Macaca fascicularis: one gene and its partners. The protein of the gene in region 6 purifies or fractionates together with the protein of the main gene of each other region. This does not show direct contact. Links are inferred from orthologs where the notes say so. Each region holds a gene or a part of one and is shown on either strand. Other genes may lie near its edges.

Region 1 (4,408 bases), on a different chromosome or scaffold from region 6:
ATCTAATGCTCCCATTTGCAATTTAATTTGTAAATTAAAGTCTTTTAAACATATGAATCAATTATGAATATTAGTTTAAAGGGGAAGGTGAGACTTAAAAGTATTCCCAACTAGATTATCTACACCAATACATTGGAACTCTATATTTTGCTTTCATTTTGTCTTAAAAAAATGAAATAGCAACGCTCTATCAGTCACACAGAGGACATGCAGATTTAGCAGTATTGATATTATACTCTATCTTGTTGGATTTAAAGACACCCTGTACCCACATGTACACCAACAGCAGGTCACACATTAACAGTTGTAACTAAGCACTGTGACAAATTAGCCAGTTCTTCCCACATTAGTCCCTATTAAAACAAAAATGGGGGGAAGGGAGCAAAATAAGTTGCTACAAAATGGGCAATATAATTTTGCCACAATTGCCAAGGTTTAAAGAGCAAAGCAATTGTAGCTAAAGATAACTGAATAAAATGTTTGCAAGTGTTTTAAGGAAAACGTATATAATCATTTTTAACCCCTGCCTTTTAGTATAAGGTCAATACTGCCAATTTCATCTGTGACAATAGCACTTGGAGTCATACCATTGCCTCCATTATTGATCTGATCCTCCTCAATCCTCCTTTTGACAATCCTAAAATGATTGAAATGTGCTCCACAATCCTTAATCCAAAGCATTCTTAATCCATCTCTTCAGATATGTCTACAGAAAGACACATGAAAAGCAAGATAAACATAAGAACTTCCCCAGGTAAGATAACCACAAACACCCCCAACATCCCAGTTCACACAAACCAGGGCAGAATAGACATTTACACAATATCACAGTCTGAAGAGTATGGAGTTAACTAAATTTAAACAATCCTGTCTATGACATCACTTAAAATACAATTTATCGAAGACACGAGGGGAATGTAGATGTTAGGAGCAAGGGGATATTACAAGAATGCAATTCAACACTTTAGCCCATTCTGAACAAAACAGTTTGAATTAAAAAATGAAAAGATTGTACTGAATAAAGGAAAACTGTATACAACATGGGTTCTACAAAAAGTGTCACCAATCATCTTATGTACGAGAGCGAGATCTGCTATGACGGGGAGAATAGCGTGGTGATCCTCTGCTTCTCCTTGGGGAGTAACTGCGACTCCTGCTGTTGCTTCTGCTACGGCTTCTGCTACGACTACGGCTTCGAGATCGAGATCTTCCATAACTTGGACTTCTGGGCCCATCAACTTTAACCCGGATGTAGGCAGTTTCTCCCTATTGGATAGACAGAACTTTCCATTGAAAGATCTAAGCTTTCATCTATCTTCAGGCATGCTGAATGCATACAATGCAACTACAACCAGAAATCTGGCAATTTACTTGGACACCCTTGCCTGAATTCTTACCTTCAAATTCCACTGTTAAGACCACTGTATCCAATTCTGGTCAAAGAAAAGAATAAGCGTATAACCTACCTCATGAGATCTAAACTTAGTGTTATCCAGTTTTCGAACTGCATAGGTCATATCTTCTTTCCGTACAAACTCCACGACACCAGTGCCATCTCGGTAAACATCAGCATAACATACATCACCTGCTTCACGCATGTGATCCTTTAAATCCTGCCAACTTCCACTTGGAGGCAGTCCTGAAAAAGTGATTTTTTTTCTTAGTATCAATTATCTTAAATTTCACGTTAAGCTGGTAAGATACATTAGAACAAAGAGTACTTTAAAATACTTAATAGGTGTACTTAAGTGATACCAGGTAAAGAGCTGGTAAGATTCTGGGATCCAGAGTCCAAAATTATTTGTAACGGATCTTCGTATCTAGTACCGCAACCTAATTTGGTAAATCACCACAGCAGCAATCCTCGTTTATTAAATTCACCCAAAAACTAAAGCAATTTAACACCTAGCATGAAAAATTTGCAATTGTTAAACCGATCATGCAAGACAAAAATTTTAGGTAGCTTCCGTCCCTTCACATCAATCCACACAACAAAGTACACTCACCAGAGACAACCACTCTGTTTTCAGACCGCCTGGATGGGGGGCCATAGCGACCTCGGGGAGCTCCGCCACCTCCACCCCCGCCGCCGCCTCGGCCTGTTCCACGGCCGCTTCGAGGAAACTCCACCCGCAGACGGTACCCATCGTAATCATAGCCGTCGCGACCATACACCGCGTCTTCCGCGTCTCTGCGGGATCGCAGAAAGTAAAAGGCATGAGAAAGACCAGGAGGAGAAGCTCGCTCAGTCGGGAACCCCCCGCACATGCGCACCCAACGTGGAAGAGCCCACATGCGCCGCATAATAGGAATGGCCCCTCCCCCACCCAGAAACACGCCAGGCTCCCAACCACTACACCAGCCCTCAGCGCCTCAGTTTCCCGCTCCAGCCTGCGAATGGGCTCCGGGGACGTCCAAGGCGAGGCGCCAGAGAAGCCACACCAACTCAGCTCCTTACTCGACTCCTGCATGGGCGATACAGTCTCGCCCCAACCTCTCTAAGAGCCCCCGCTTCCCCGTTCTCTATGTTAAGGCCTTGGAGCCTTCCCCGACTACTCGGACCTATTTCCTCAAGGCTGCAAGCCCCATGCCGCCTCACCGCGGGTCCTCGAACTCAACGAAGGCGAAGGGCGGTCCCCCGCGGCGATTCTTGAGGTCGATGTCGCGGATAGCGCCGTATTTGTAGAACACGTCCTCAATGTCCTTGGTTCGGATGTCTGGAGGTAAGTTACCCACGTAGATGCGGCAATCGTTGTTCCCTGCGGGGCCACGAATCACACCACCTCCCGACATGGCGGTGACGAAAAGCGCGGACTCGAGAACAGGCCTTCCCACCAAGCCTAGCGCACCGCAGAGCGAGCCCGCAGCGGCACCACGTCTCCCGCGGCCCCTCCAAAATGGCGCCTTTATCAGCTCGGCGCACGGATATGGGGGGGAGACAGAGGAAGAGAAGCGGAAGGAAACAGCGATTCGATCCCAACACGCACGCGCGGGAGCGCAACGGGTGCTGCGAGGGATACGCGCAACGCACGCGCACGCACGCGCGACGTCACCCTCCGCACGAAGGGGGAAAAAAAGTCCCCCGCGTTCCCCGCTTGGGGTGGTTTGCGAATAGAGTGAGCAGCCGTTTGGTAAAAGTTAAATAAAGAACTCTCGTTAAAGGAGCTAGTCATCCAGGTCGAGTCTTGAAGGATAGTCAATTTCCCCAGGAATGAGGAGCTTTGAAAGCAACTCGGCGCCTTCAAAGGACTTGGTGAAACCTAGCCTAAAGCCTTGTCCCACCATGCTCTGCGGCGATAACGGCCTTTGGCGGGAAAGAGACTCGGAGGCGGGGCTAAAGGGGGAGGGCTCGGGCCGTTGCTCCGGAAACCCGGGTATCTTCGTAGAGTGCGTCTGGTCCAGAGCTGAGTTGCCGGTGACTGAATAGAGAGCTGGGGCGTTGGTTTGTCTTCCCGCCCCTGCTGCGAACAAGCTGTGGCTGCTTAGACAGATGTGTCTAATTTAGCGAAACCGGTTTAGATTCCTTAATCCTTTTCATTAAGAACCATTCCACCTTCTCGTCAGAACTTTGCATAGCTCAGTTCAGCACTCTTTGTGCTAGTCGCAGTGGGCCCGTACCCCGACCTTTCAACGTGGTACCCGCCAACCAGAAGGGGTAACAGTACTGCTTCTGGTACCCACACCTCTTTATCTCTTGTTAATCGCCTATCCGTGGGACTAGCGCAGATTGCCTGCAGAATGAATTGTTTCTGTTGTTTCCTTTTAAAGAACGAGAAGGAAGAAAAGGTGCGTGTGTGCAGTCCTTTTTTCAAAAGTTTCCTCTAAAAGTTACTGAAATTGAAAATACCGGTCCTCCCAGGTAATAAAATGGACCGAAATGGATGAGAGCCGTATCCACTAGAGACCGCGGTTGCTATTCAGGACTGTGATCTTATTTGCCTGCGACATTGGGAGATAACATTTTACATTTTTTTTCGACGTCTGCAATCTGGATTTTTATGTGAAATCCTGGGATTTTTAAACGTCGCTAATGAATTCAAATTAAAATCAGGCTGGGCGCGGTGGCTCACGCCAGCACTTTGGGAGGTAGAGGCGGCAGATCACTTGAGGTCAGGAGTTCGAGACCAGCCTGGCCAACATGGTGAAATCCCGTCTCTACTGAAAAAAAAAAAATTAGCCGGGCTTGGTGGCGGGCGCCTGTAATCCAGCCTACTCGGGAGGCTGAGGCAGGAGAATCGCTAGAACCCTGGAGGTGGAGGTTGCAGTGAGCCGAGATCGCGCCATTGCGCTGCAGCCTGGGCTACAGAGTAAGACTCCTCCTAAAAAAAAAAAAAAAAAAAAAAAGGAGGGGGAAACAACAACAAAATCAAATCCTGCAGTCATAAATTTGCGATAACAGATCTACACC
Region 2 (3,016 bases), about 54 Mb from region 6:
CATTGGGAGTTGCCCTGCCTCATTTCTTTCTTTTTTTTTTTTTTGGAGACGGAGTCTCACCCTGTCGCCCAGGCTAGAGTGCAGTGGCACGATCTCAGCTCACTCTAACCTCCGTCTCCCGGGTTCAAGTGATTCTCCTGCCTCAGCCTTCTGACTAGCTGGGACTAAGGCGCTCGCCACCATGCCCAGCTAATTTTTGCAGTTTTAGTAGAGATTGGGTTTCACCATGTTGGCCAGGCTGGTCTCGAACTCCTCACCTTGTTCCGCCCGCCTCAGCCTCCCAAAGTGCTGGGATTACAGGCATGAGCCACCACATCCAGCCGCCCCACCTCATTTCTGATGCCTTTGGGCAAAGTGCCCATTCTCGCTAGGTTCCTTATACTGTGGGGAAGTTCTGAGACGTCTCCCCTCTGAAAGTCACACATTCTTAAAGTTGGGCCTGCTTTTTGTCTCTCAGTGTGCTGCTCTGCAGCTAAGGAAGCAAGTACGGAGCAACAGAGAGACTTGTCTGTGGTCAGTTGTAGAGCCAATTAGAGAAACTGCTGAGTTTCCTCTTGAATTGGAATTTTTGACTAGGCTGCTTGGGTCAGTCACAGGCTGGCTCTGGGCTGATGGCCACTCTCAGAGGCAAACGACAGGGTTTCGGGGAGGAGCCCCAAGCTCGGCATGTGGAAAGGGGTGGCCTTGCTGATGGAGCCAGACCCTTGCTTTCCAGAGTTGCAAGCACTACGGGTGGGGGGTCCCTTTGTTCTGCTGGCTGACCCCCAGCTGCCACCAGAGCCCAGTCTGCAGTTCCATCAACATCTTCTTTCCAAAGCCAGCAGATCATTTGGTTTCTGTAATAATAAGGTCCCCAGAAGTGGCCAGTTGTGTGCATTTGTACACAGAGGATCTCTCGGTGTGTGTTTTTTGACCTCTGCTTGATGGTGTGGCCGAAAATCCTTCTCTGTTCCCTGGAAGCGCTGAGGAAACGCAGCCAGAGTGGCCCCCAGCAGAGCATCCGAGAGGGACAGGGTGGGAGGGGAAGGTGGGAGTAACTTGGACTTGTCTCCACGTAACTCCTGTTCATTACCCTGGGTGGCCTTCTGAGTGGGGGGTGTCCTTGCCTCCCCCTGGAGCATTTCTCAGTGTCTGCTGATGGAGAAACCTCAGAGGTCTCAGGAATTGACATCCATGGTTCACAAAGCTTGTCACAGACACTAGCACCTCACAGACACACATACAGGGGTGTTCTTTAGAAGTTGTGTTATGGAAATCTCAGCTGTGGCATAGAGCAGAGAGAATGCTGGGAGGCCCTCATGAGTCCATCACCCAGCTGTAGCTGTTGTCAACATTTGAGGGGTGTCTTAACGGTAAATTATGGTGGGCCTTTACCCCGATCCATGCCCATGAGCTGAAGTGGTCTGGCGTGTTGTACACACGCATACTTAAGTTCTTGACACCAACCTGTGTTTTGTGTCCCTGTTTCAGGTGGAGGTGGAGGAAGCGTCCCTGGGATCGAGAGGATGGGTCCTGGCATTGACCGCCTCGGGGGTGCCGGCATGGAGCGCATGGGCGCAGGCCTGGGCCACGGCATGGATCGCGTGGGCTCCGAGATCGAGCGCATGGGCCTGGTCATGGACCGCATGGGCTCCGTGGAGCGCATGGGCTCCGGCATTGAGCGCATGGGCCCGCTGGGCCTTGACCACATGGCGTCTAGCATCGAGCGCATGGGCCAGACGATGGAGCGCATAGGCTCAGGCGTGGAGCGCATGGGTGCCGGCATGGGCTTCGGCCTTGAGCGCATGGCCGCTCCCATCGACCGTGTGGGCCAGACCATTGAGCGCATGGGCTCTGGCGTGGAGCGCATGGGCCCTGCCATTGAGCGCATGGGCCTGAGCATGGAGCGCATGGTGCCCGCAGGTATGGGGGCTGGCCTGGAGCGCATGGGCCCCGTGATGGATCGCATGGCCACCGGCCTGGAGCGCATGGGCGCCAACAACCTGGAGCGGATGGGCCTGGAGCGCATGGGCGCCAACAGCCTCGAGCGCATGGGCCTGGAGCGCATGGGTGCCAACAGCCTCGAGCGCATGGGCCCCGCCATGGGCCCGGCCCTGGGCGCTGGCATTGAGCGCATGGGCCTGGCCATGGGTGGCGGTGGCGGTGCCAGCTTTGACCGTGCCATCGAGATGGAGCGTGGCAACTTTGGAGGAAGTTTCGCAGGCTCCTTTGGTGGAGCTGGAGGCCATGCTCCTGGGGTGGCCAGGAAGGCCTGCCAGATATTTGTGAGAAATGTAAGTGGCTCTTGGGGAACTTCTTGGTGGTGGTGAGCATGAGGGGACAGGGGAGACAAAGATCAGCAGGATGAAGTCAGAGGTGGCGCCCTCCAAAGAGGACCACATCTCCTTGCTCCTGTCCCAAACGTTTTATGCTAGTGGGACAAGTAAGGAATGTGAGAACTGTGGGTTCTGGAAGAGCCTGGGCTTCTCCACTGCGCTAGAATATGGAGCAGACTCTGAGCTCAGAGACTGCAGTTTCTGATTGCTTGGCTTGAAGAGGCACTGTGTCTTGCACAGTGATCCAGGGAAAGAAGTGGCTGTAACGGAATTATTTTCCCCAGCTCAGCCACTCTTAGCCACTATTTAGTGACTGTGGGCTGCGCACCACAGGCCCAAGCGTCCCATCCTGCACAGTGCTCCCACAGTCTGAGCCCCAGGGAGGGAGCTGGCTGTGCCACTTCACAGCCTTGTCCCACGTGGACCTATTAGTTCCCTGCTGATCGCCTCAGTCTGAAGAGCAGCCAGCTTCTTGGTATAGTAAGAAATCTAGTGTAGCCCTCAGAGTCAGCTGCAAGGCGTGCCTTAGGATTTGGTTTAATCACACATCAGTCTCCCTTTTTTCCTTCCTCCTTAGCTCCCATTCGATTTCACATGGAAGATGCTGAAGGACAAATTCAACGAGTGTGGTAAGTGTTGGGAACGGCTTTCTAGGTGCCTCCCTCATGCTTACTGGTGATGCAGCCAAGTCAGCAGCAAAG
Region 3 (3,774 bases), on a different chromosome or scaffold from region 6:
AAATGTTAATTGAGAAAAGCTGAAAATAGTTTTAGTTTACTCATTATCACATGCTAGAAGAAAATTTTGCATGAGAAAACACTGAAGAGGTAATTTTTTAATCCAGATTTCACAAACTCATGGTGCAAAATGGGTCCCCCAGCTTCCTCTATTATAACTGCTCTTAACTGCTTGTTGGCTGCCTGTGAAAATTTGATTGAAATAACTCAAATGTTCCTAACAAAACTAGTCATAGCCACCCATGCTGTTCTGCCCACTATAGCCGGCCCCGTAACAGCCACTCACTGACTGGCTCTCCAGGCCACTATAAGTGGCCTGGGCAGCAGACACCCCCATGCCTTGCATCACCTGGCTGCTATACGCCCCATTGCTGGCCCCTGTTGTTGAATTCAAGAAGAGTTCTATGTATCTGTGCTGCATATTGGCCCTGTCTTTGGACATAGCTGCCACAGCTTCTTCATGAGTAGCAAACTCAACATCTGCTTCACCCGTCACTCTTCCATCTGGGCCGATCTCAATATGGACTCTCACAGGGTTGAGAGGAGAGAAGAAGTTGTAAATGTCGTTCTCGGTCGCTTTGTATGGCAGACCCCTCATGTGGACACAGTGGCCTGTGGTGCTCTGCACTGTGAACTCACTGTCGCCATATCTGTGGTCATACATTCCGGAGAGACAGTAGCTGAGATCTCTCCCGAACAGGTCGGTGGTGAAGCCGTAGCCATCACTGAGGCCACTGTACTCCTCGTAGCCCCCGTAGCCTGTGCTGTAGGCACCGGGCCTCATCCTCTCCAGGCCTGCCTGCTTCACGATGCCAATATACCTCCTGGCAGTCCCGGGCCGGTCATAGGGCCCTGGCCGCTGCACGGACATGAACTTCAGAGGGGGATCTGAGTATGACCTAACTTCCTCCTGGCTGCTCTTAAACACCTCGATGTACCTGTGCCCTATCCTCTCCTTGTGCTTCCCTAGAGCCTTCTCAGCTAACTCCTGCGAGGCAAACTGCACGAACGCTTCCCCTGTAATCTTGCCTTCGGGGTCCACAGGCAATGTGATCCCGTTTGGCACGATTTCCAACCCTGAGAAGAACTGAACAATTTCTTCCTTTGTGCATCCAAATGGGAGTCCTCGAAGCCGCACGAAGCCATCGTTGGCGCTGTCGGCACTGTTGGGACCGCTGTGCTTCAACACCCAATCCATCTCGGTTCTGTGGGACTTGAACACCTCAATGTACCGGTGTCCCATGCTTTCCCTGTCTTTTTTCAGGGCCATTTTTACATCATCTTCTGATCCAAGTTCAACAAAAGCCTCACCACTCTGCCTGCCCTCTCTAGTATAGATGAAATGGACACCTGCGGCCCCATCATGAATCGTGCAGTCAGAGAGGAAGTTCTGCACGTCCTCAACAGAGCAGGACCAGGGCAGGCCACGGAGCTTGACCACAAAGCCTTCACCTCCCTCAGGGCCCAGCATCATGGACACTTGACAGGGTGGGTGTCAGGTGATCTTGGGTGTGGCTTTTTTGTGGCTGGGAAAAAAAAAAAAAAAGACAAATTTATTTAATATGCACAACAAAAGTATGCAACAGAAAATTTCCCCATTTTACAGATGAGAGAGGTAGCAAGACATTAAGAAATATACCAAATACAATTGAGAGCTAAGATTTAACTCCAGGTTTCTCAAAAAATTACATGAGCAGTCATAGGCAATTTGAAAAAAATCAGGAGTTTACAAGACAGGACGATGCATGTGAACGTGGTGCCTTGAACACAGAGAAATGTAAATTTCAGTCAGGTGAGAGCAAGCGCATTTCCTTGTTATATTTATTCCACGTTTGTCATGATAATTATGTGGCAGTTCACTTATAAGAGCACCTCAGTTCTTCCTAAACTATAGGCCTTACATTTGGTTAAACAGTAAATTTAGTAAATTTTATTGTTTATGGTAGGATACTTTTACTTTCATGAGAGGGGATGGGAACATAGCAGGCTGTTTTTAAACCACAACATAGGGTAAGATTTTCTAATTTTCTCATCGGCAGTAATGTTGCCAGGATACAAGACAGTAACGGCTTACAGTGTCTACAGAGGTATGATTTTGCTCCCAAATCGTCAATTCAAACTAAATATCAGATTCACCAGTTCACATAAAATATAGCAGAATTGCTGTCTTTTGCTTAAGATCTAGAAGAGGGCACCGGGAAGAAAGGGCAATCGCAAGAGGGCTGAGAAATGCCCTTCCCACCAGGGTGGTACATGGCACTTGGAAGTCCAAACTCAAAGAATAAGGCCAACTACACACTAGAAGGCAGTCTTCTGAGAAAGAGCAGCAGCTGACCCAGACGCCAGGGTATACAGCATAGCCAGCCATAAGCAAGAAAAATACTGCAGTATTATGGTGCCGAAGACATATTTTTGTATGAACAATGTCAAAGATGATGCTCAAAATGAGCACAGGAGTATATGGAAATCTTTTTTTTTTTTTTTTTTTTGAGACAGAGTTTCACTCTTGTTGCCCAGGATGGAGTGCAGTGGCACGATCTTGGCTCACTGCAACCTCCGCCTCCCTAGTTCAAGCGATTTTCCTGCCTCAGCCTCCCGAGTAGCTGGGATTACAGGCATGCACACCAAGCTATTTTTTTTTTTTTTTTTTTTTAAGTAGAGACGGGGTTTCTCCGTGTTGGTCAGGCTGGTCTCTAACTCCCAACCTCAGGTGATCCACTCCCCCGAGCTTTTTTTTTTTTTTTTTGGAGACGGAGTCTTGCTCTGTCTCCCAGGCTGGAGTGCAGTGGCGGATCTCATCTCACTGCAACCTCCGCCTCCCAGGTTCCAGTGGTTCTCTCCCCTCAGACTCGCGAGTAGCTGGGATTACAGGTGTGTGCCACCATGCCCAGATAATTTTTTTTGTTTTTGTTTTGAGACAGTCTCAATCTGTCACCCAGGCTGGAGTGTAATGGCACAATCTCAGCTCACTGCAACCTCCGCCTCCCAGGTTCAAGAAATTCTCCTGTCTCAATCTCCTGAGTAGCTGGGATTACAGGCCACCACACCCAGCTAATTTTTTGTATTTTTAGTAGATACGGGGTTTCACCATGTTGGCCAGGCTGGTCTTTAATTCCTGACCTCAGGTGATCCGCCCGCCTTAGCTGCCCAAAGTGCTGGGATCACAGGCATGAGCCACCATGCACAGCTGGAAATCTAATGTTTCAAAGTGTCATTTTACATCAAGCATAACAGGTACAAGCTGCTAGTCTTTTCAAGCAATATGGGCTCATCATGTGGGGAAAAATGCTCCATTAAAAAAAACCCACAGTTTAAAAAACAGACAAAAAGTATAGGTAAGTGCAATTTAAGAAAAGGAAAAGCAAATTCATAATAAATGAAATGCTCAACTGCACTAGCTTCAGGGAAAACTAAATTAGTAACAAGTAGTTACCATTTTGACTGATCATATTAGTAATTTTAAAGTTTGATGTAGCCAATGCAGATGACATTTATCATACAGTGCTTCGTTATTTCAAATTGACAATGTCTAAAAGGATAATTGTGTAAATCTTTTAAATCTGCCTGTGTCTACACCAGATTATAAAGACAACAAGACATGTCTCTTCTCCCAATAACAAGCATAATGACACAAATGAAACAGAACAGTATGTGATATCCTGAACACATCACCAAGACCAAATACCCGGCATTTACTCATGAACTGTGACTTGGCATGCAAGGGCTTTGAAAGTATACAGCCTAAGTAAAAGACGTCACCCTTGCTAATGAGTGG
Region 4 (3,774 bases), on a different chromosome or scaffold from region 6:
TCTCACTGTAGCCTCCACCTCCCAGGTTCAAGCAATTCTCCTGCCTCAGCCTCTCAAGTAGCTGGGATTACAGGTGCCCACCACCACACTGGGCTAATTTTTTGTACTTTTAGTAGAGATGGGGTTTCACCATATTGGCCAGGCTAGTTTCAAACTCCTGACCTCAGGTGATCCACCCACCTCGGCCTCCAAAAGTGCTGGGATTACAGGCATGAGCCACCATGCCCAGCCTGCATGTTAAGATTTAAGAGATTTCATAGAAATTAAAAAAGTTTATGATAGAAAAAGCCAGATGCAAATTTGTTTATATAGTATGTGATTACAGATAAATATTTTTATGAAGATACAGCAACATAGTGGAAGAAGATTCAGTAGTTTATCAGTGATTATGTTTGGATATTGAGATTCAAGTAATTTTTCTCCTTTGTACTTTTTAATATTTTTCAGATTTATCATGTACTGAAGTTGTAAAGTATTTTTCTAACATGAGGTAAAACTACAGCTAATGTTTTCCTAGGCAGCCACTTGGTAATACTCTGTTCGTATTATCTGAAGATTTAGTTTTTTGTGGGGAGGGCGGCATTTGATAATGTCTTATTTTCTTCTGTCCAAATGGAATGGGCATTTTTGTATCATTTCTTAGATCTGAAACTCAGCACCGAGGCTCTGCTCCCCACTCTGAGAGTGATCTACCAGAGCAAGAAGAGGAGATTCTGGGATCTGATGATGATGAGCAGGAAGATCCTAATGATTATTGTAAAGGTAAGTTCATAAGGAGGTATGAAGTGAGACATGATCCATCTATTTGCAGTTTCTCATTTGGATGTTTGATCTATCAGCATAAACACAGTTTTATTGGTGTTTACTTGTATCCTTTTCTCTAAAACTTAGGAAATAGTATTTGTTCTTAGTCTGACTTAATTTATCAAAGCCTGATTTTATATTAAATGTTTTTACCTTTTTCCTCTTTAAAAGTTATAATACATATTTACCTTAGAAAATTCCAGAGCTGTGTTAAACAGAAAAGAATGTAAAAGCCTTCTGCAATGCTATCAACCACATATAACCATGGTAACATTTTGGCATATAGATTTTTACAAAATACCTTCTTACTACTTTTTTTCTCATAGTGATGGCTGTTAAGTTAAACTGGAATTACAGACACTTAAATGGTGTCATCAGGTTGCCTGTTACCTTTTCTGTTTCTTGATGAGACTTTCCGGAGTCTTTGGGTAGGAACACAAAATGGAATGTATCATACCATCTAGGAGAAGAACGTGGCCCTTATTGTCAGCTGGCAAAGATAAATATGAAAATACCTTGATTCTTGCCACTGTTGGCAGCTTTTTTGAGGCCTTCCTCTGTTTTCTGCTTTTTAGGGTTTTTTTTGTTTTGTTTTTTGAGACAGAGTTGCCCAGGCTGGAGTGCTGTGGAGTCTCAGCCTACTGCAGCCTCTGACTCCTGAGTTCAAGCGATTCTCATGCCTCAGGCACCCACCACCACGCCTGGCTAATTTTTGGGTTTTTTTGTTTGTTTTTGTTTGTTTTTTGTGTTTTTGTTTTTTTGTTTTTGAGAAGGAGTCTCGCTCTGTTGCCCAGGCTGGAGTGCAGTTGGTATGATCTCAGCTCGCTGCAACCTCTGCCTCCCGGGTTCACGCCATTTTCCTGCCTCAGCCTCTAGAATAGCTGGGACTATAATCGCCTGCCACCATACCCGGATAACTTTTTGTATTTTTTCAGTAGAGACGGGGTTTCACCGTGTTAGCCAGATGGTCTCGATCTCCTGACCTTGTGATATGCCTGCCTCAGCCTCCCTGCTGGGATTACAGGCATGAGCCACCTCGCCTGGCATTTGTTTGTTTGTTTTTGTTTGTTTTGAGACAATCTCACTCTGTCGCCCAGGCTGGAGTGCAGTGGCACGATCTCAGCTCACTGCAACCTCTGCCTCCTGGGTTCAAGCAATTCTCCTGCCTCAGCCTCCTGAGTAGCTGGGACTACAGGCACGCGCCATGACACCAGCCAATTTTTGTATTTTTAGTAGAAGACACGGTTTCACCATGTTGGCCAGGCTGGTCTCGAACTCTTGACCGCAAATGATCCACCCTCCTCAGCCTCCCAAAGTGCTGGGATTACAGGCGTGAGCCACTGCACCTGGGCTATTTGTTTTTATTTAGAGGAACAAAATCCCGTTTGCTTACTTGTTTTTGTTTGTTTTGTTTTTTGCTAAATAATTATTCTGTCTCCTAAAAAACACCTGAGACTGTAATTATAAATAGATATATATTAGATATATATGTTTAGATAAACTTACTGGATTATTGAGAGACAAGAATATTGTGATATACAACCTTTTTATTGTTTTTGGATGAGCCTGTTGTAGGCTCAATCTAAATCATTAATCTTATTCACTTTTTTTATAACATGAAGTCAGTAATACTATGTGGCTGATTTGACTATTAAGGCTTTCTTCTGTTGAATTGATTGTATAAAAGAAACTTTTTGTTGATAAAAGGTATATAGATGTTGAAAAATGTGATGTAAAAATGCCTTTTCTTACCATTGTTTCTCGTCCTGGTTTTTCTGATTTCCCCTGTGTCTTCCAGGAGGTTATCATCTTGTGAAAATTGGAGATCTATTCAATGGGAGATATCATGTGATCCGAAAGTTAGGCTGGGGACACTTTTCAACAGTATGGTTATCATGGGATATTCAGTAAGTTTTAGTGGTTCTGTAAAAAAATTAGTTAGATGATGTCTAAATATGTTTGTCTGAGTTTCCACTGCTGATCCAGACTTCAATCTATCTCTAGCCTGATACATTTATCAGAATTTTGTTGTTGGCAATAGTCTCTATATTCTTGGAGAAATCACTTTTCTTTCGTGAAGAATCGGTATTATATATCTCCCTTTCTACTTTAGAGACAAGAGTGATTAAATTAATGCTGGTAAAGCTTTTGTCGTTTGATTTTTTTGTTATTTTTATCGTTTTCTTTTCACCCAAATATTTCTTCTGGCTGCCTGTGGGAAAATATTACAGCTATTAACCTTTTAGTTTTTGCCTATATACAGATACACAGAACACTTGGAATTTGGTAATATCTTTCCCCTTATTTATCCTCATTTTGAAGTTTTGCTTGAAATTCAGGGAGATATTCAAAAGAAGGATTTTAACTCAGAGAAAATGTTCAACAACTGAGATTATCTGAGAACAGATCTTTTATTCTTCCTACAAATGAAATCTGGCCAGTTAGCATCATTAACAAGTACAAATGTTCCCATAGAAGTAGCTTGTTTGGGCTACAGGGAAACATGAAATCAGTATTTGTCCTTTTTAACCATCTTATAGCTAAACCTTAGCTTCCTAAAGTAAGGGTAGGCTATGTAGTCTTAATTGCCTGTGTTTGTTTCTTAGGGGGAAGAAATTTGTGGCAATGAAAGTAGTTAAAAGTGCTGAACATTACACCGAAACAGCACTCGATGAAATCCGGTTGCTGAAGTCAGTGAGTATTAGATTATATGTATGAATGCAAAGAATTATAAATATATCAAGTTTCATTGAATTAAAGCACACCAAGTGGAGACTCCTCAGCATGGATAATTTTCTCTATAAAGTTCTAGTATCCTTAAAGAGGTTAAGGAAGACAACAATATTTACACATTCCATGCATGTAGTAGGGAACTGGTGGGAAATGCTATGATTAGAATTATTACACACATGAACCAAAAAAAACCTTTCAAATGAATAAAAATATTCACTGAGCATGTTTTACAGGCCA
Region 5 (3,774 bases), on a different chromosome or scaffold from region 6:
AATATTTTCTCTGTTCCCTTCTCTTTCCTCTCACCTTATTCCTCTGTTAAGTTGTCCCACTGCTCACTGATGCTTTTCATTTTTCTTTTTTTTTTTTTTTTGAGACGGAGTCTTGCTCTGTTGCCCAGGCTGGAGTGCAGTGGCCGGATCTCGGCTCACTGCAAGCTCTGCCTCCCGGGTTCACGCCATTCTCCTGCCTCAGCCTCCCGAGTAGCTGGGACTACAGGCACCCGCCACCTCGCCCAGCTATTTTTTTGTAATTTTTAGTAGAGACGGGGTTTCACCGTGTTAGCCAGGATGGTCTCTATCTCCTGACCTCGTGATCCGCCCGTCTCGGCCTCCCAAAGTGCTGGGATTACAGGCTTGAGCCACTGCGCCCGGCCGATGCTTTTCATTTTTAAAGAAATTCTTCTCTCTTTGTATTTCACTTTAGAAAATTTCTATTGCTATGTGTTCAAGTTTACTATTATTTTCTTCTGTAATTTCTGGTCTAACAGTAATCCCATACAATATAATTCTCCTTTCTAGAAGTTTGATTTCAGGTCTTTTAAATCTATTCTTTCTCTCTTAACTTTTTGAACATGTGGAATGCAGTTATAACAATATTTTATTTTTATTTTATCTTATTTTATTTTATGATGGAGTCTTACCCTGTTGCCTAGCCTGGAGTGCAGTGGCATAATCTCGGCTTATGGCAACCTCTGCTGCCCAGGTTCAAGCGATTCTTGTGCCGCAGCCTCCCAAGTAGCTGGGACTACAGGTGTGTGCCACCACACCCAGCTACTTTTTTTGTATTTTTAGTAGAGACAGGGTTTCACCATGTTGACCGAGCTGTTCTTGAACTCCTCAGGTGATCCGCCTGTCTCAGCCTCCCAAAGTGCTGGGATTATAGGCATGAGCCACCACACCTGGCTGTAACAACATTTTAATGTATTGTCTGCTAACTCTAACATCTGTGCCATTTCTGGGTTGATTGCCATTAGTGGATTCATTTTTCTCATATGGATTGTATTTTCCTACTCTTTTGCATGCCTGGTAATTTTTTTTTCTTTTCCTTTTTTCTTTTGAGAGAGGTTCTCACTGTGTTGCCCAGGCTGGTCTTGAACTTCTGAGCTCAAGCAGTCCTCCTGCCTCAGCTTCCCAAAGTGCTGGGATTACAGGTGTGAGCCACCAGACCTGTCCAGTGCCTGGTAATTTTTTACTGAATGCTAGGCTTTGTGAAATTTACCTTGTTGGGTCCATGATATTTTTGTATTCCTGTAGATTTTCTTCAGCTCATTCAGGAATATAGTTATATGGAGCTAGTTTGATCCTTTCAGGTCTTGTTTTTGGGGTTCTTGAGGCAGGACTGAAGCAGTCCTCCCCACTGTGAGGCACAAGTGCCTGTGGACTCTACCCACCGCCCTGTGAATCAGGAGGTTTTTCCGTCTGGCTAGTGGGAGTTGCACTATTCCCAGTTCTGAGTGAGCAGCAGGTGCTGTTACGAATCCTTTCGGGTGCTTCTTTCCCTGTCCTTGGTAGGCATGTGCTGCTTAGTACTCCCCTGCATACTTGAGGACCTTCTCTAGGTCTCTTGAGTTCTCTCTCAGCTCTTTTCTTCAGTACTCTATCCTGTGAACTCTAGCTGCCTTGATCTCCCTGGACTTTCAGCTTCATCCTCCCAACTCATGGAGTCCTCAGGGCTCTCCATGCGTCTTCCCTCTGTTCTGTGGCCTGCAAACTCTTGGTGCAGTATGCTGGGGCAGTTGAAGGGCTCATTGCATTTGTTTCCTATCTTGCAGGAATCACTGTGCTTTGTTGCCCCATGTCTAGTGTCTTGAAAACCACTGTTTCATATATTTTGCCCATTTTTTGGTTGTTTCAGGCAGGAGGGTGTATCTGGTTCCTGTTGCTCCTTGTCAGGAAGCAGAAGTCTCAAGCTTTGCATATTCAAGGAAGAAAAATAAAGAAGGGTACTGTGGACAGAGTATAGTGAGGAGGGCTTGGGTAAGGGATCAGGCTATGAACCCTTTAGGTCATGGTAAGGAGTTTAGATTTTATTCAGATAATGATCAGAAGCCTCAGAGGGTTTTGAGCAAAGGTCTGACAGGACCTGCAATCCATTTTAAGCCATTTTCTCTGGCTCTTGTGTGGAGAATAGATTGTCACCTCTTCCAGTGGGAGAGGTGGAGATGATGGACACAGTCTGGGGTAATAGTGGTAGAGGTGCTCTTATTCCTAGTGTAATCCTTGAAATTAGTGGTGAAACTGGCTGTGGATGGCTCTTGCGTCGGAAGGCCTGAAGTGTGAATTACGTACATGAGAACTCAAGGCATGACATTCTTCGGGTGGGAACTGTTGTCACCTGCTCTCTCTTGCTAGCTTCTCTGTACCAAAGTTCTCTTGGAAACTTTGAGCCTCTCTGACCTTTTGACCCTTCTGTACATGTGGGAGTCCTGGTCTGTGATCCCCTAACTTGGTTTAGGGGGCCCCTTAGCTCCATCTGTGTTCCCTGGAGTCAGCACTGTGCCACCCTCCCCTTCCCCCTGCCCAATTATTTTCTGTCATGGGCTTCCATGAACTGCAGAGGCTGCATCCTTGGGGAGCTCAGAAGCTCTCCAAGGCGCTGAGTGGAGGTGCCACCTGTATCTTTTGTTTCTGCTTCTGGAGACCCTTTTGTCCCTTCCTTTTTGGGCCTGATCCCATTGTCCTTCACAGAAGTGAGACACCTCAGCTCTTCACCGTGTTGCCAGAGAAGAGAACAGCCACTGTTGGGGGAGCCATGATGGGATCAACCCACATTTATGATATGTCCACGGTGAGTACTTGGAGGACATACTGCTTTTGGAGGCTGAGAAGGGCGGCAGAAGCTAGGGCTTCTCTGACTCTCTTTGGAGGTGACAAGGCCCTGATCTCCTTTCCAGGTTATGAGCCGGAAGGGCCCAGCTCCTGAACTGCAAGGTGTGGAAGTGGCGCTGGCGCCTGAGGAGTTGGAGCTTGATCCTATGGCCATGACCCAGAAGTATGAGGAGCATGTGCGGGAGCAGCAGGCTCAAGTAGAGAAGGAGGACTTCAGCGACATGGTGGCTGAGCATGCTGCCAAACAGAAGGTAGGCGCTTCCAGGGGCGCTGGGCTGGGTGAGAGCCAGGGACCCTGGCCTGCCGTTTTCAGTGGTGTGGTGCCCTCTAGTGGTGAGAGTGAGGGTGGCCTCTGCTTGCTGCCCTGTGCGCTTAGATTTGGAAGTCTTAGAAATCCTCCAGTGGGCTGCCCTCTTTAAGGACGATGAGGGGGAGGAACTCAGCCAAGTCTGAGAGGGAGCTCGAAGAGAATCCAGATTCAGCACCTTTCCCACAGACTTCTATGTCTATGTCAGGCTGCCCACCCTTGTTTTGGGGGTCTGGGGGTGGTTCAACCTGTTATAACCTGTGTCTCTTTCTCCCTATGCAGCAAAAGAAACGGAAAGCTCAGCCCCAGGACAGCCGTGGGGGCAGCAAGAAATACAAAGAGTTCAAGTTTTAGGTCCCCTCATGCTGGCCCTTTTTTTGGCCCTCCGTCTGGATGCCTGGGCTTCACAAAAGAGCCATCTCTCCCGCAGTTCCCAAGGACTTGTCATTTCATGTTCTTATTTTAGACCTGTTTTGTAAATAAAGCTGTTTCCCAAGGAAAGAGATGAATATGTAACACTCCTGATCCTCCCTCATCTCCTTTTAGCCCCTTCTTGCAAAAGGACTAAAATAGCCTCTTTCTACAATCACTGGGCTGCCCCAGTAACCACGAACATGAACTGGGATCAG
Region 6 (3,774 bases):
TGAACGATGACCAGGTAACCTCCGTGCCTCCCTCCAGTCCCGTGCCCCCCCGGCCCCATCTCAGCCCAGCCCTGATAGACTCTCGGCCGCTGCAGGTCAAAGAGCTGCTGACATCCTTTGGGCCCCTCAAGGCCTTCAACCTGGTCAAGGACAGTGCCACGGGGCTCTCCAAGGGCTACGCCTTCTGTGAGTACGTGGACATCAACGTCACGGATCAGGTGAGTCCCTGGCCCCTGGCCGCTGCCGCGTCTGTCCTTCCCTGCCTTGCGTCTGTTGCCAAGCCGTGGTGTCCCCTCCTCGGGACGGGGCGGGAGGCGGCCAACCTGAGGCAGTGCCCTGCGTGTGGGCTTGTCCTTGTCCCGTGGTGTTGGCTTTTTCCAGGCTCTTAATCCCCTTTGCCTTCCCCTCTTCCCCCACCAATGCCCCGGCTTGGGGGTAGGTGTTGGGCTCCCCGTCCCTGACCCACCTCTCCCGTACCCCTACCCCTCGTCCTCCAAACGCAGGCCATTGCGGGGCTGAACGGTATGCAGCTGGGGGATAAGAAGCTGCTGGTCCAGAGGGCGAGTGTGGGAGCCAAGAATGCCACGCTGGTGAGCCCCCCGGCACGTCATCTTCCATTGGCTCGAGGGACCCGGGGGTGGGAGGGCTGGCTAGGGACAAGCTTTCTGATCTTTCTCCCAGCTTTCATGGGAAGGCAGTTGGGGGGCGTTCAGTGCAGTGTTGGGGAGTGGAGCTTTAGGTGTTTAAGTGTAAGAGATGGCCTTTTCCCTGGGTGGGCATCTGAGGGGCATAGGCTTGAGCAGAGGGAGACTGGGTCTGGGCCCCCTGTGACGCCCCTGCCTCCCCTGGCCCCACAGAGCACCATCAATCAGACGCCAGTGACCCTGCAAGTGCCGGGCCTGATGAGCTCCCAGGTGCAGATGGGCGGCCACCCGACTGAGGTCCTGTGCCTCATGAACATGGTGCTGCCGGAGGAGCTGCTGGACGACGAGGAGTACGAGGAGATCGTGGAGGACGTGCGGGACGAGTGCAGCAAGTATGGGCTTGTCAAGTCCATCGAGATCCCCCGGCCTGTGGACGGTGTCGAGGTGCCCGGCTGCGGAAAGGTCAGGAGGCCCTGGGCTCAGAGCTTTCTCACCCTCTCCCCCTTCCTCTTCTCGCCCTCTCTTTCCTCCCTTCTCTCTCTCTTTCCTCCTTTCTCCCTCTCTTCCCTGTCCCTCTCCTCTCCTCAGTCTCCCTCTCCCTTCGCTGAGCATGCATATAGGTGTGTGCCATCACTGAGTGCTGCCCTCAGGCCTGGCCATAGGAGATGTTGGTGACGGTCTGAGGCCTGCAGGCGAGACAGTAGTTGGGGAATGCAGCTCTGTATTGCTTTAGAACTTGGCCCTGCTCCCCCTTCTTATATGGCCTTGCTTGTGCAAATGGTTTTGTCTGGTCTGTGGAGTGGGGAAGAGTGCTGGGAACAGTCCCAAGACACCTGCTGGTGTCTGCTATGTCAGGCACTCTGCTGAAGCTGTGTTTGCACTCACCCTGAGCCCTCTAAGTAGCTCCTGAGCTCCATTGTGGGAGGAGACAGGCACAGCTGGGGTGGCTCACACTGGCAGGTTTCAGGTTCTCGGAGTCTGATTTCAGAGCTCACTAAGTCCTGTCACCTCCAGCACCGTGACAGGTGTAACCAACTCACCTTGTCTGCCTTGTGAGACGGTGGTGGTGAGGGCGTGTGACCTGCTCTTTGATCCCCTTGTTCGGCGTATGTGTGGAATTCCCACCGTACCAGGCTTGGAGGGACCTCTGTTCACTACTGAGCCCTCAGTGTCTACATCAGAGCCTGGTACGATGATGCTGAGGGTTCAGTAGTGAACAGAGGTCCCTCCTGTCCTGTGCAGCAGAGGTCCTGGGGATGCAGCTGTTAGAGGACATGCATGCTGTGTTGATTCGGGGCAGGGGCGGCATTCCTGGGTGTGCTGTTCATTCAGGGTGGTCAAGGTTAAGAGGTGGCAGTGAGCAGGTGAGCGAGCGAGGTGGTGGGGCCCGGGCTGAGTGGCAGGCCTTGGAGGGCTGCATGGGTCTTAGAATGACCGGTTATTTTGAGCCAGATGGGAGGGAAGCAATACTGAGAGGCCTCCAGTGTGGTCACGCCTGGCAGATGGAAATGGCCCCACATGGTGAGGTTAGGGGTGGGCGCGGAGGCACAGCAGGTGCTTCCCTGGGCTCTGCCTCCCCTGCTTAGCCCTGCAGGGCAGAATGGGGATGAGCAGGAGGGCAGAGAGGGTGCTGTGGACAGGAGGCCTTGCTGGGGGCTGGCAGGTTTGGTGCTGCCGAAGTGATGCCACAGCCAGGTTTGTCAGGACCAAGGCTGGCTGTGCAGGGCCAGATTGGGCAGGGGGGCCTTGTCGTGGAAGCAGCTCGGCTTTCCCCTGGAGTGGTGGGCTTTTCAAAGAGAAAACAGTGCTGTGGTGCTGGCATTTTTGAGGTGATTATGGCTGCAGTTGGGAAGATGAACGGTGGGGAGGTGTCCCATGATAAACTGGGTGAAAGATGGTAATCTGATTTAAAGTAGCAGCAGGGGATGGAGAGTTGAAGGATTTGAGGGAGACTTGTGCCTGGGAAGTGTCCAGACTTTGGTGATCGGTGTGTTTGTGTGCGGGGGAGGCCTATGGGCTGCTCAGTAGCAGCTCTGATGGTGGGGACGGTAGGTGAGACGCAGGGGTGACAAGCAGGTTGTGGGGGTGAGCCGGGGGTGGGGCGGCTAGCTGGCTTTGGATTTCTGAGACACCCAGTAGAGATGTCGAGGATGAATTAGCTGGACAGGTCTGTGCTCCCAGCATGAGGGCTGATGGAACTCAGGTGTCAGGGTCCCGCTTGGGACCTCGGGATGGCGGAGTGGGAGAGCAGGGTCGGGATGGCGGAGTGGGAGAGCAGGGTCGGGATGGCGGAGTGGGAGAGCAGGGTCGGGATGGCGGAGTGGGAGAGCAGGGTCGGGATGGCGGAGTGGGAGAGCAGGGTCGGGATGGCGGAGTGGGAGAGTAGGGTTGGGATGGCGGAGTGGGAGAGCAGGGTCGGGATGGCGGAGTGGGAGAGCAGGGTTGGGATGGCGGAGTGGGAGAGCAGGGTCGGGATGGCGGAGTGGGAGAGCAGGGTCGGGATGGCGGAGTGGGAGAGTAGGGTTGGGGGGGCAGCTGGAGAGGTGGAAGGAGCATCTTAGAGAAGGGCAAGGGGAAGGCCGGCAGCATCTCCTCTCACTGCAGCTCCTGCCCATGCCCTCCAGAGTCCCCGTCCCTTGAGCTGGTATGTCAGGGCTGCTCTCTGGTGTTGGGCTGGAGCTTGGCTCAAGCAGGGGCTGAGGAAACATTTGTGGGAAGAAGAGAAGGAATGGAGAGACCCTGGCCTTTGGGATCAGCTGACCTGTTTTACATATTAAATTTATTGCATTGGCCGAGCGCGGTGGCTCACGCCTGTAATCCCAGCACTTTGGGAGGCTGAGACAGGCGGATCATGAGGTCAGGAGTTGGAGACAAGCCTGGCCAATGTGGTGAAACCCCGTCTCTGCTAAAAAAAAATACAAAAATTAGCCAGGTGTGGTGGCGCATGCCTGTAATCCCAGCTACTCAGGAGGCTGAGGCAGGAGAATTACTTGAACCCGGGAGGCGGAGGTTGCAGTGAGCCAAGATTGCGCCACTGCACTCCCAGCCTGGGTGACAGAGCAAGACTCGGTCTCAGAAAAAAAAGAAATTACTGCATTGTATTCCTGTTTTCTTCTTAAATTTTTTGTTA
Region 7 (4,526 bases), on a different chromosome or scaffold from region 6:
TAAACAATTGCCCTTAATATTTAGTATGGGCCAGACACAGTGGCTCTTGCACTTCCAAAGTAATCTCAGCACTTTGGGAGGCCGAGGCAAGAGGATAGCTTGAATCCAGTTGTTCAAGACCAGCCTGGGCAACATGGCAAAACCTCATCTCTACAAAAAATTTAAAAACTCGTTGGGCGTAGAGGTGCCTAACTGTAGTCCTAGCTACTTAGGAGGCTGAGGTAGGAGGATCACCTGAGCCCGGGAGGTTGAGGCTGTAGTGAGCCCTGATCACACCACTGCACTCTAGCCTGGTTCAGAGTGGAATGACCCAGAGTGGAGTGACAAAAAAAAATTTTTTTTTTTTAGTATGGCATCTATTGGTGCCTTGCTATTTATTTATTTATTTATTTATTTATTTATTTATTTATTTTTGAGACGGAGTCTTGCTCTGTCGCCCAGGCTGGAGTGCAATGGCGTGATCTCAGCTCACTTCAACCTCCGCTTCCCGGGTTCAAGCAATTCTCCTGCCTCAGCCTCCCGAGCAGCTGGGAATATAGGCGTACGCCCGGCTAATTTGTTTGTATTTTTACTAGAGACGGGGTTTCACCATATTGGCCAGATTGGTCTCCAATTCCTGACCTCAAGTGATCCGCCTGCCTCGGCCTCCCAAAGTGCTTATAGGCATGAGCCACCGCGCCCGGCGCCTTGACATTAATTTTGCATCATGAATGCAACGGAAAGATCAGCCTATTTGACTTCAATAGTTTTCAGTCTCTTAAATCTCTAACATATCTCTTAAATCTCTAAACCATTTGTCTGTGACCTATTTTACTGTTTGTGTTTCTTCTGCATCAAGTTGGAGGATTGCTAGTGACAAAGAAAGAAGCCCCTAAACAATATGAGTTCAAGTACCAAAAAAGTTCAGGGCGCTTGCATTTTTCAGTTCTTGCCCTACAGGAAGCAGTTCCTCCAAGGGAACTTACTCTCTTCTTCGGAGAAATGGAGAATTTTCTTGCCACACGGCTTCCCAGGCAAACGCAAACTCAAACTCAAGTTGAGCGTCATAAATCAGTTCATAGTCTGGGTCTGAAGACACGGCGCTGCCTGCCTCTTCCCCACTTTGGAGGCCACGGAGCTTGTTATTCCGATTCCGCCCCCCTCCACAGGCCCCACCAAAAAAAAAGCCTAAGATGGGAGTGGCTGGGATTCAGAGGACAGAGGGCAGAAGCTGTTTGCGTTAAGAAGTAGGTGGCTTGCCCTATTAGGATAGTCCGCAAACACCGAGTCTGACCCGGCCCATAGAGGTACTTCCACCCCGCTTACCTCCCCTTTTCTCTCGGAGAGCACCCGAAGATTGTCAGGAGTCCTTAGACTCCAACTACCGCTGCAGCTTCCAAATTTCCTGAAAACCCTAAGCTGGGCCAGCCCGGCAGCCCACGCACTTCCGGCCTCGGACCCGCCCCAAACACCCAAGAGCCCCAGCGCCTCATCTCTAGGTCCGGAGATAAACGAACATCTCCGATTATGGTTATACCAGAGTCGAGGGCTTCCGAATATATTCGATTCAAAGCTTCGGCAAGACGAAGAAAACCGAGCCTGAAAGCAGGGCGAGAATAGGGGAGCTGCAGGGCGGATGGAAAGAATTGATTGGTGCCGATGTGGAGACGGAAATATCCGAGGACATCCGGAGGAAGCCGGGGAGTTCTGAGTGGTAATCGAGGGGTAGAGTATGGCAGTGGGCGGGGTCATCTCGGTACGTTCGAAGGGCGTTGGCGGAAATTACCGAAGATGCCCGAAGCCGTCGGGACGGACCCGAGTACCTCACGCAAGATGGCGGAGCTGGAGGAGGTGACTCTGGACGGGAAGCCTCTTCAGGCGCTGCGGGTGACCGACCTGAAGGCCGCACTGGAGCAGCGAGGCCTAGCCAAGAGCGGGCAGAAGAGTGCCCTGGTCAAGCGGCTCAAAGGGGTGAGGAGTCGGCGTTGCTGGGGTGTCGGAGGAGAGCGGACCCGGTAGAGACGAGCCTCTGCCGCGGCGCAGGCGCAGTATCCGGGCTCGGCGCGAGCTCGCTCAGGCCGCCAGCGCGAGCCTCTGGATCCGCGCGCACGGTGGTTGGTGAGGTTCGCGCTGGAATGGCGATCGCGCCGGTTCCCGCCTTAACGGCAGCAGCGCGAGCCCAAATGGGAGGGTGTGCACTACTCTCCAGGAGTGTCTTAAGCTCCTTCCTCCTTCCCCCACCCCCTCCTTGTTTGTATCTGTGGTTTCGGCGCATGCGCTGCAGAAGGAGTTAAATCCCACTACAACCTACGGCGTCGCTGGCCTGAGGGGGGCGAGTTGGGCTGGGTCGGAGTTAGGGGTATAGTTGCGCGGAGGGGTGGATGGGGTTGGTATCGGTATCTGCAGGAATAGGATTGGGGTAGGGTAAAATGTCTGCTCGATTAGATGAGGTGAGATGAAGAGAGACCTTTATGTGAAGGGACTTGATGAGAGAGGTGTCTAATTTATAGGGCATCTAGTGGCAATTTGGGTAGTTAAGAGTTTGGTGAATATTGGTGAGAGAGGCGAGGCAGGTTGATACATATTGGGGATTTTGAATCAGTTTAAGTAGATTAAGGTGGGAATGTCATGAGGTAGGTGTAGATCGATTCGAGTGTATAGGTTTGGTTTAAAGAAGGGAAGATGAGGATGTCTTGGTTTTAATTAGAGTTCAATAGGATACGTGGCAGGTAGTGCAGATTAGGTCTGGGTTGGCTCCAGGGTTGAGTTGGCAGACCGTTGCTTATACAGAAGCTGATTGTGTGTGTGTGTGTGTGTGGATGGACGGACTAGGTTAGACCACAGTTCACAGGGTCTCTGGTCATTTTCTTCTGTAGCCTCCTCTTTGAAAATTTTGTAAATTTGGTAAATCTAGGTGCCACAGTACTGGAAATTATACAAATTGACTCTAGTCCTGGGTAACCCTTTGACCAAGTAATTCCATCAGGCAAAAACCAGGAGCCCCATGGCTGCTGGTTTGAGTATTTTTAAGTAGTTTTACCTGCATGATCAGATTTAGAAGGGGCACTTGGCACAAGTGCAGAAGACAACAGGGATTTTAGTACTGGTTCTATTACTGATATTGTGACATAGCCAGGTCACTGATTCTGTGTGCCTGCATTTTATATCTGTACGTTTAGTAACAGTAACCGTGGCTACCTTTAAGGGTCTTCTGGTGATGAATGAGAACAGTGTCAGTAAAGGATTTTCAGGTCCCTGGAAGGGGAATACAGTTTAATTGTGTGTATTTAAGTCATTGCATTTAATTAAGAGGTTGTGGTAGAGGTGGGAGTTTTTCTTTTTTTTTCCTCATCATTTCTGACTTTTACCCTTCTCTATACCAGGCTCTAATGCTAGAAAATTTACAGAAACACTCAACACCCCATGCTGCATTCCAGCCAAATTCCCAGGTGAGAAAGGTTTATTCAATGGAGTGGGCTCTTTGGATATACAGACACATGGCAGGACGTGGTGTTGTATATTTCATGCTTAATTCCTCACGACTATTTTCCTAAGTTCCCTTGGTCAGAAATGTTCTCAAACCAGGACAGTTGAATTCGAATCACCCAGTTGTATACAAGGGCCTGGAGTAAAGAACAGAATCAAAGGCGCTATTAGTTTATAATAATTGAAATGGTATGTGCAGAAAGGTGTGGCTTCCATTAATTACGTGTAGTACAGAGATCTGAAGTCATTTATCTGCCATGAATTTAGGAAAGGTAGTTGATGTCTTTGAGTATAGATATGAAGTAGACCACCAATGTGACAGTGTAGGAAAATAGTTGCTAATTAAGAACTCTTGTTGATGTAGATTTACCAAGGATTCAATCCTGTGTAAGTCACCCACCATTACTAGTGTTAACTACTAACTCAATGCACTTATTCATAAGCATTACTAATAGTTCCTTTACTTAGGATAAGAAACTTAACCTTTGGAGGCCTTGGTTTCCTCCATTTCCTTATCTGTAATATGAGAAAAAGTCAAACTAAACCCATGGGTTTATAACTGCTCTCGGGGTTTTGTGGAGCTGCTTTGGGGAGCTTCTTAGGGGAAATAAATACCTTTTTCTCAAGTAAGCAAGGCTCATACTTCTCTCTTAAACTAGATTAGATCTACTTTTATCCGCTTTGACTATTGAGTTTCTGCATAAGATGTCTTTTAAATTATTCCACAGTTAAAATCCAAAAATTATAAGGCTGCACAGTCTCTTAAAGTTTCTTTCAGTTTTTGAAAATCCCCTCTTTATAATGTGTCATATACTTAAAGGAAAAATCCAAGTCTTTGTTAAAGCAGTGGTGTGCAGCCTCAGTACTAGATGAAGTCCCAGGATACTGTGGAAAACAAGAGAGCCCTCCTACTCCCTTGTTATCACCTCATTAAGCTGTAAGTATCATAATCTAGCCAGCTTTCAGAGGTTCAATTAAGTACTTTAACAAGCATAAGAAACTGCATAAGTTAATCAGCTTAATTGTATTTAGTCTTTGAAGCTTTGCTTTTATTAACACAG

Evidence for each region.
Region 1: the proteins of U2AF2 (region 6) and SRSF1 purify together in Homo sapiens (affinity purification with mass spectrometry; 4 studies listed by BioGRID and IntAct, counting the BioPlex papers as one, with this or other methods). This does not show direct contact. The link is inferred for Macaca fascicularis from reciprocal best matches to the Homo sapiens genes U2AF2 and SRSF1.
Region 2: the proteins of U2AF2 (region 6) and HNRNPM fractionate together in Homo sapiens (co-fractionation; 4 studies listed by BioGRID, with this or other methods). This does not show direct contact. The link is inferred for Macaca fascicularis from reciprocal best matches to the Homo sapiens genes U2AF2 and HNRNPM.
Region 3: the proteins of U2AF2 (region 6) and HNRNPF fractionate together in Homo sapiens (co-fractionation; 3 studies listed by BioGRID, with this or other methods). This does not show direct contact. The link is inferred for Macaca fascicularis from reciprocal best matches to the Homo sapiens genes U2AF2 and HNRNPF.
Region 4: the proteins of U2AF2 (region 6) and SRPK1 purify together in Homo sapiens (affinity purification with mass spectrometry; 3 studies listed by BioGRID and IntAct, counting the BioPlex papers as one, with this or other methods). This does not show direct contact. The link is inferred for Macaca fascicularis from reciprocal best matches to the Homo sapiens genes U2AF2 and SRPK1.
Region 5: the proteins of U2AF2 (region 6) and SF3B2 purify together in Homo sapiens (affinity purification with mass spectrometry; 3 studies listed by BioGRID and IntAct, counting the BioPlex papers as one, with this or other methods). This does not show direct contact. The link is inferred for Macaca fascicularis from reciprocal best matches to the Homo sapiens genes U2AF2 and SF3B2.
Region 7: the proteins of U2AF2 (region 6) and ACIN1 purify together in Homo sapiens (affinity purification with mass spectrometry; 3 studies listed by BioGRID and IntAct, counting the BioPlex papers as one, with this or other methods). This does not show direct contact. The link is inferred for Macaca fascicularis from reciprocal best matches to the Homo sapiens genes U2AF2 and ACIN1.

The regions. Positions count from the first base shown.
Region 1 is NC_088390.1:48,706,040-48,710,447, reverse strand, and holds the start of SRSF1 (serine/arginine-rich splicing factor 1), read right to left. Parts: upstream 2,903-4,408; 5' UTR 2,794-2,902; coding exon 2,600-2,793; intron 2,192-2,599; coding exon 2,007-2,191; intron 1,640-2,006; coding exon 1,467-1,639; intron 1,267-1,466; coding exon 1,080-1,266; intron 707-1,079; coding exon 684-706; coding exon of another isoform or gene 668-683; 3' UTR 1-667. UniProt on the Homo sapiens protein: Plays a role in preventing exon skipping, ensuring the accuracy of splicing and regulating alternative splicing.
Region 2 is NC_088393.1:9,177,054-9,180,069, forward strand, and holds part of HNRNPM (heterogeneous nuclear ribonucleoprotein M), read left to right. Parts: intron 1-1,470; coding exon 1,471-2,273; intron 2,274-2,892; coding exon 2,893-2,944; intron 2,945-3,016. UniProt on the Homo sapiens protein: Pre-mRNA binding protein in vivo, binds avidly to poly(G) and poly(U) RNA homopolymers in vitro. Involved in splicing.
Region 3 is NC_088383.1:52,665,962-52,669,735, forward strand, and holds part of HNRNPF (heterogeneous nuclear ribonucleoprotein F), read right to left. Parts: intron 1,526-3,774; 5' UTR 1,474-1,525; coding exon 226-1,473; 3' UTR 1-225.
Region 4 is NC_088378.1:135,782,492-135,786,265, forward strand, and holds part of SRPK1 (SRSF protein kinase 1), read left to right. Parts: intron 1-615; exon of another isoform or gene 616-617; coding exon of another isoform or gene 618-643; coding exon 644-762; intron 763-2,602; coding exon 2,603-2,711; intron 2,712-3,410; coding exon 3,411-3,498; intron 3,499-3,774. UniProt on the Homo sapiens protein: Serine/arginine-rich protein-specific kinase which specifically phosphorylates its substrates at serine residues located in regions rich in arginine/serine dipeptides, known as RS domains and is involved in the phosphorylation of SR splicing factors and the regulation of splicing.
Region 5 is NC_088388.1:8,324,124-8,327,897, reverse strand, and holds the end of SF3B2 (splicing factor 3B subunit 2), read left to right. Parts: intron 1-2,697; coding exon 2,698-2,797; intron 2,798-2,903; coding exon 2,904-3,089; intron 3,090-3,427; coding exon 3,428-3,499; 3' UTR 3,500-3,646; downstream 3,647-3,774. UniProt on the Homo sapiens protein: Component of the 17S U2 SnRNP complex of the spliceosome, a large ribonucleoprotein complex that removes introns from transcribed pre-mRNAs.
Region 6 is NC_088393.1:63,623,445-63,627,218, forward strand, and holds part of U2AF2 (splicing factor U2AF 65 kDa subunit), read left to right. Parts: coding exon 1-218; intron 219-503; coding exon 504-590; coding exon of another isoform or gene 591-602; intron 603-857; coding exon 858-1,106; intron 1,107-3,774. UniProt on the Homo sapiens protein: Plays a role in pre-mRNA splicing and 3'-end processing. By recruiting PRPF19 and the PRP19C/Prp19 complex/NTC/Nineteen complex to the RNA polymerase II C-terminal domain (CTD), and thereby pre-mRNA, may couple transcription to splicing.
Region 7 is NC_088381.1:90,850,181-90,854,706, reverse strand, and holds the start of ACIN1 (apoptotic chromatin condensation inducer in the nucleus), read left to right. Parts: upstream 1-1,470; 5' UTR 1,471-1,638; coding exon 1,639-1,950; intron 1,951-3,362; coding exon 3,363-3,428; intron 3,429-4,526.